2 linked regions of the Cricetulus griseus genome follow. The protein of the gene in region 1 interacts with the protein of each later gene in a pairwise test. Links are inferred from orthologs where the notes say so. Each region holds a gene or a part of one and is shown on either strand. Other genes may lie near its edges.

The links.
Region 2: the proteins of Lgals8 (region 1) and Apeh interact in binary tests that used the Homo sapiens proteins (3 or more experiments, as listed by UniProt). The two-hybrid records come from large-scale screens. The link is inferred for Cricetulus griseus from reciprocal best matches to the Homo sapiens genes LGALS8 and APEH.

Annotation. Positions count from the first base shown.
Region 1 is NC_048596.1:236,452,319-236,455,662, reverse strand, and holds the end of Lgals8 (galectin-8), read left to right. Parts: intron 1-1,819; coding exon 1,820-1,969; 3' UTR 1,970-2,624; downstream 2,625-3,344.
Region 2 is NC_048597.1:216,278,659-216,282,478, reverse strand, and holds the end of Apeh (acylamino-acid-releasing enzyme), read left to right. Parts: intron 1-1,073; coding exon 1,074-1,162; intron 1,163-1,527; coding exon 1,528-1,666; intron 1,667-2,131; coding exon 2,132-2,215; intron 2,216-2,292; coding exon 2,293-2,373; intron 2,374-2,492; coding exon 2,493-2,581; intron 2,582-2,680; coding exon 2,681-2,871; intron 2,872-2,949; coding exon 2,950-3,052; intron 3,053-3,140; coding exon 3,141-3,247; intron 3,248-3,330; coding exon 3,331-3,436; 3' UTR 3,437-3,597; downstream 3,598-3,820. UniProt on the Homo sapiens protein: This enzyme catalyzes the hydrolysis of the N-terminal peptide bond of an N-acetylated peptide to generate an N-acetylated amino acid and a peptide with a free N-terminus. It preferentially cleaves off Ac-Ala, Ac-Met and Ac-Ser.

The sequences.
Region 1 (3,344 bases):
AGCCTGGAGCTAAGTTAGCAGCCAGCAAGCCCCGGTGATCCTGTAAGCACCCCCCCCCCACCCCCGATAGGTTACAGGTGCTTGGGTGGCCCAGCATTTTACTTGGGTCTTAGGATCCAACCTCAAGTCCTCACACTCGCTTGAACAGCAAGTGCACTTACCCACTGAGCCATCTCTCCAGCCCCACTCTTTTAAAAAAAATAGTCATGCTGGGCCTCACAGGCCAGCACACCGAGTCACTAAACTACCACCCCAGCTCTGTCTTAAAAATCTCATCCAATATTGGATTGCATTGATAAGCTGTTCAAATACAAAATAGCTTGTGACACTGGCTGTGTCACTGCATCAAGTGGAGCTCACCGAGCATCAACTTCACCATACTGGATGCTGTTAGGCCTGGCTACCTGCAGCTCTGAAGGCCTGAGTCCAGAGCAGACAGAATTTGAGTCAGAAAATTGTGTTTTCCCAGCTGTTCTGAGGTCACTGGGGTGGGGGGTGGTGGGGGGGGGGGGGGGGGGGGTTGGGGGTGGGGGGTGGTGTCTGCTGTTTCATTTCCTCTTCTAGGAGAATACTCTGCAGGTCACATGCCTTCTTCCTGTGCGCGTTTTGCTGCAGTGTTTCCACTTGTTGATTTTACATTTATTTGTTACAACAGGGGGAACTTGCTAGGATTGCATCCGGCTTCTTGCCCTACATCTCCACCCCTTTTCTGTTGAGCTATACAATAGGAGATTGAATTATGATCCGAGATTTCTTAAATATATGTCACCCAATATCCCTTCCAGCTAGTTGAACTTGGGATTTCCCCCATTCTTGGGGAGATAGCTCAAGTAGTAGGTAATTCCCCAGTTCCCTGTGTAGCACTACTTCGGTCTAGTCAGTTATGCTATGTGCTCATTTGTCCCTTGTCCTGACTTCCTATGGTAGCTTTTCCCATTGCTACCATCTAAAGAATAGAACCATAACAAGGGTCTTTGCAGATTTAAGTTTGATACTCTAGTCTTAGCTGTGCTGACTTCTAAAGGCTTCACTGTGGCAAGGAGCACAGTGCAGGGACACCAAACTGGCCTTTTCAGTGAGTGGCCACTTGGTACAGTCAGTGAGCCTACTGACCTTAAGAATGTGGCAGTGAAGCACAGGGTTAGGTGTTCAGGCAGTGTAACAGGATACTGGCTTTGGATGTTAGGTTTACTGTTAGGAAAACAATCTGAAGGGTGGGCAATAGGTATGCATCTGCCAAAATGCCAATAGCTGCAGAGCCTGGGAACATGACCCTGACAAGCTTTTTGGAAACAGGTAGAGAGGCCATTATGTTCTGATTGAGGACAGACTTAGGATTACTGAGTAATTGCTCTCCTTACCAAGTGTCCCAAGCTGTTGGAATGTCATCAGTTGACATGGCCAAGACCCTAGCATCGAGGCAGGATAGTTACACTCAGTTTCTCAGGGAATAGGTGGGGGGCAGTGATCAGCAGTTTTCTGTTAATTCCCAAATACCACATGGAGAGACACTTTACAGCCTTCTAAAAGCCAGGAGCAGAATGTGGTGGTGGTGGTGGGGATTGGGGGGGGGGGGCTCCTAAAGGAAGGATCTGGTGAGACATAGTGGGTGAAGGAGATGCCACATGGTACATTGGGGATTTGGGTTGCCTTGCCTGTGAAGTCACTCAGAAGGGGAGTCAATGGTAGAAGGCTGGGGAAACATCTCCAAGCTCAAAGCAAGCCAAATGGTTTTCCTTTTGACTGTCTGTTAGTATAAAAAAAGCATAAAATTTCAAACAAAGGGCAGCTACTGATGGTATATCTCCTTTCTTTTCAGATGATAATTTACTGTGATGTCCGAGAATTCAAGGTTGCAGTAAATGGTGTGCATAGCCTGGAGTACAAACACAGATTTAAAGAGCTAAGCAGTATTGACACATTATCTGTTGATGGTGATATCCGTTTGCTGGATGTAAGGAGCTGGTAGCTACCATGATTGTCAAAACCCTAAAATACAAAACGGCTTATGTGATACTGGCCATGTCAAATGCATCTGGCTTTCACCACATTGTTTATGTTGTTAAGTTGAGCTCATACAACATCAAGTTTTATCTGGTATTCTCAGGCCTGGCCATGCAGTGTGGCTACCTCTATGTTCAGAGGAACAAATCTGGGGCAATCCCAGCTTACTGCTGGTGAGGCTCTGCACATGGGGTCCCGTCTTGTAAAACCACACTCAACAAATGTTTAAGTGCCTATTCTAATATACCAGTTAATAGGGATAGAAGGCATATTTCTTGTGTATATTCTCTGAGCTGTGCATAGACACAGAGGTGCCCAGAACCAGTGTGGTCCCTGTTTTCTGGCACTCAGGCATCCATGATTTTACAGTAGGGTCTTTCTGCTGACATTGCATTAACCCCATTAGGGGGCATTTGTAGTTAAGGTCAGAAAAATATACTAATGGATGGAAAACATTACTTCCCCAGTAATCCTTTTCATAATCAGCATCCAATCATATCTTATAAGACTGTATAACACTTATTTAGTCGTCATTGCTTTAAGCTTTATAAAATAATTAATATGCTGAACATGGCAGAAAAATTGAGGCAAAAAAAAAAAAAAAAAAAAAAACTGAATTAGAACAAGTGTTCTGCTCCAAGCAGATTTCTGCTTATTGGCACTCAAGTCTGTGTGTGCCTGTGGCAAAGTGTGGTAGGGAATGGATAAATGCAGTTTGTTAAACCTTTTTGGGTAACTGACATCAAAATGAGACTCAGTGAATGTGAATTACACAGGAGGGTAATGTTGAGTTGGAGTGTAAACCAGTGCTTGCCCCTCTGGGTCTGAAGACATGTCTGTCTCCATCAGCAGTGAGGTCAGACACTGCTCTGTCTGCTAAGTAAACTTGCATCAGCAAATTCAACTGCCACACTCCCGTAACTTCTGTTGTTTGACTGGAGCTGGGAGAAGCCCCAGGTAAAGTCCGATTTTGTTACAGATATAGTACGGGGAGGGAGAAGAGCTAATTTCATCAGGTCATTTTATGACTAAACCACAGGACAGAATTCTGCCAGGGCTTGGGAGTAGGCACAGCCAATTTTCCCAGACAGATGTATACTTACGTGGGAAATAATACTGTCAGCATTTCTTACTTTTTAGGAAGTGCAACTGCTAGTCCTTCCTTCCTTTCATGGAAATCCATCTGACAACTATTGAAAAACTCAAGCTTTGGGGGAGGGGGGGAGACAGACAATCTGTGGAGAGCCCAAGAGGCTCTAGATGTGTGTGTGTAACTGGGCAATCTGTGGGGAACCCAGGCGGCTCTAGAATCCCCCAACTCTGAAAGGCACTCAGGAAAA
Region 2 (3,820 bases), on another chromosome or scaffold:
GCCGGTTTGGGAGTGGAGCTGCTTGACATAGGAAGTGTGTCTCAAGTCATTCTTAACACGAACTGCTCCACGGCCTTTGGGATCTGGGCAGCGCACTACCTCCTTTGTTCCAGTGCCCCTTTGCACTGGCTCTACAGCCCCACCCCTACCCCAAAATCTGCAGGCCTTTCTTGCTAAGCTGTCAGTCATCTACCTCCCGCCCAAGCCTTGGAGAAACCATTGTTGGATTGATTCCCTAGCTTTCCCACACTTGAGCCTATTGTCTTCCCCTGGAACAGCCTTTGAGTTGTCCACCTGCCCTGTCTCTACGTACTCCTCCAGAGAGATGCTGTCTTAGTTAGGGTTTCCATTGCTGTGAACAGACACCATGACCATGGCAACTCATAATAAGAAAACATTTAATTGGAGCTGACTTACAGTTTCAGAGGTTTAGTCCATTATTGTCCTGGTGGGAAGCAAGGCAGCACTCAGGCAGACATGGTGCCAGAGAACGAGCCCAGAGTTCTACATCTGGACTGGCAGGCAGCAGGAAGAGAAACATTGGGCCTGGCTTGAGCTTCTGAAACCTGAAAGCCCACCCCCAGTGACACACTTCCTCCAACAAGGCCACACCTCTTAATAGTGCTACTCCGTGTAAACCTATGGGGACCATTTTCATTCAAAGCTCCATAGATGCCAGAGTTTTGTTCTAATTCTGTATCTCTGGGTTGGGACATAGCTCATTGCTAGCGTGTTTGTCTACCATACATAAGGCTTAATGCACATAAGTAAATAAGTGAATAAATAAACCTTAGACCCCACTGTCCAGTCCCCTTTCCCTGACCCTGTTTTTTGGGCTAGGCTGCCATCCTTTTTACACTGGTCATTGGAGTAAGTAGAGTATCTTGGTAGATTTCTGTGTCCCCAGGCCTGGCAGTTCCTGAGCACAAGCCAGTGTCTGTCAGATAAACAAGGGACTGAACCAGGAGGCTTACCCAGGGCTATACAGTTAGGTGTTCTTAAGGGGTGCCTCTGAGGGTTGAAGGTACAAAAGTGGTGACCCCCCACCAAACACTACCATCTGCTTCCTCTAGGGGGTTCAGGTGGAAGCTGGAAGTTGCTTACAATTGATCAAGACCTTATGGTGGCCCAGTTCTCCACACCCAACCTGCCCCCGAGCCTGGTGAGTATTGGTGAGTTCCAGGCTAGAAGGCAGGAGTTACAAGCTTCCAGGCCAACAGCTGGCCATGGCTGGTCAACATGTAGAAGGGCGGAGACTTGGATCCACCCTAGTCCTATGGTTTACCATGGCTGACACTTGTAAGTAGGGACTAGCATTTGTGCTGTCCTGAACAACGTGCCAAGTCCTACAGTATTAGAGTACAGGGAGACAGAAGAACCCAGAAGCCAAGAAATGTGGTAGTGGTAGGCAGTGGTTCATATGTGGATGTATATTGTCATATACCACTCATAAGAATCTATGCTGTGCCCTTTAGAGATGAGTTCCTGAGCACTGGCCACCTGTGACACTTTGCTTCCCCTTGGCAGAAAGTTGGGTTCCTGCCTCCTGCTGGGAAGGAACAGTCCGTGTCGTGGGTGTCCCTGGAGGAGGCTGAACCCATTCCTGACATCCTCTGGGGCGTCCGTGTGCTGCATCCACCTCCAGACCAAGAGAATGTGCAATATGGTGAGCTGGGCCGACAGCACACGGAGGCCTTCTCCAGGTCCCCAGCACACAGCGTGTGTGATGACCCTTCCAAGCTCACATTTCAGGCTTTCTAGGATTTCCTCAAAAATTTTTTCTGTTCTTATGGTCATGGGGAGTAGCATCCAGAAATCCGAGTACCTGCTGTGGTTATCAGCACCAGGCCCTGCCAGGGCATGTCCTCTGTGGTGAGAAAACTAAGGCCCAGAGAAAATAGGCCACACACAGGCTTATGTGACTATATCAGAATGTGCTCTTTTCAGACATTAGGCTCTCTGACTAGGCAAAAAGAGCACAAGCCTTCGGGGTCCATGTGTCATGGTGTGAGCTACCATGGCCAGGCCTGTTTGTCTTGATCAGACTCACGCCATAGCTACAGATGGGGCCTTGGCTGGGAGCACTTGTGAAGGAGCACTGGTCTTGCTGATTACTGCCTTCTCCCTACAGCTGACCTTGACTTTGAAGCAATCCTTCTACAGCCCAGCAACCCTCCAGATAAGACCCAGGTGCCCATGGTAGTCATGCCCCACGGTAGGTGTCTACCTAAGAGTGCTTGCTTTCCTATGAAGCTGCTAGCTGGCCTGTTCACCCTCTTCTTCCTGTCACAGGGGGACCCCATTCATCCTTTGTCACTGCCTGGATGCTGTTCCCAGCCATGCTTTGCAAGATGGGCTTTGCAGTGTTGCTAGGTAAGAAAGGGTAGCAACTTCATAGCTCTTGACTAGGTCCCCTGACAGCCTGCGATGCTGCTGGTCCTAGGAACTGAGGTCCAGAGGGCTGAGAATACTATCTTGTCTCCTCCTTTTAGTGAACTATCGTGGCTCCACTGGCTTTGGCCAAGACAACATCCTTTCTCTCCCAGGCAATGTGGGCCAGCAGGATGTGAAGGATGTCCAGGTAGCAGGGTGCTGGACAGTGTCCTGGACAGGGAGGTGGGTTCGAGGCTCTGTTCAGCTGACAGGAAGCTAGCTGCAGCACACTCTTCTTACCCTTTAGTTTGCAGTGGAGCAGGTACTCCAGGAGGAAGGCTTTGATGCACACCGTGTGGCCCTGATGGGTGGTTCCCATGGAGGGTTCCTCTCCTGCCACCTGATTGGTCAGTACCCAGAGACATACAGTGCCTGTATAGCTCGGAACCCTGTAATCAATATTGCTTCCATGATGGGCTCCACTGACATCCCTGATTGGTGAGTGTGCATCACAGGTCCTTTGTCTTTCCTTCTACCCCAAATTCCCATGGAAAGCATCATCTTGGTCTTTTATAGGTGTGTGGTGGAGGCTGGCTTCCGTTATAGCAATGACTGCCTGCCAGACCTGAATTTGTGGGAGGAGATGCTAGATAAATCACCCATCAAGTATATCCCTCAGGTACCCAGGTATCCTTGTGTGTATGCTACCCATCCATCCAGAATCCAGAGCTCAGCTCACCACAGCAACTTGCTCCCCATACACCTAGGTGAAGACACCTGTGTTACTGATGCTGGGCCAGGAGGACCGGCGTGTACCATTCAGGCAGGGTATGGAGTATTACCGTGCCCTCAAGGCCCGGAATGTGCCTGTTCGGTGAGTGTCAGAGGATAGTCCTGGTAGCTGTGGCAGGTAAGCAGGACAAGAACCACCAACCTCATGTGTTGCTGCTCACACAGGCTCCTGCTCTATCCCAAAAGCACCCACGCACTATCAGAGGTGGAGGTGGAGTCAGACAGCTTCATGAATACTGTGCTTTGGCTGCGCACACACTTGGGCAGCTGAAGCCCTAACATTCTGCGTGAACTGGTCAGTCTGTCTTGCACTTTGCTCTTGGTAAGCGCCAGGATCTGGCAGAATAGCCTAGAGACTTCCTGGGCTCTGGACTCTGGATGAGTGGGCAGAGGGACATGGACTATGCACTCATAATAAATGAGGACACAGAGCCTGGTTTGTGCTGGTACTTTGTACCAAGCCATCCTCAACCCCAGACCCCATCCTGGAGTTCAGAAACCCTTGGCCTTGGGTTTGATATTCACAGTGGATTCATCTCTGTCATCTGACAGAGAGGAGCCATGAGCAACTCTACCCCAACTGTCCTGGCCGACTGGGACTGGTGCAGACCAACATAGCTCTTTCTGCTCTAGCCCATCTGTTGGAGAATGTTCT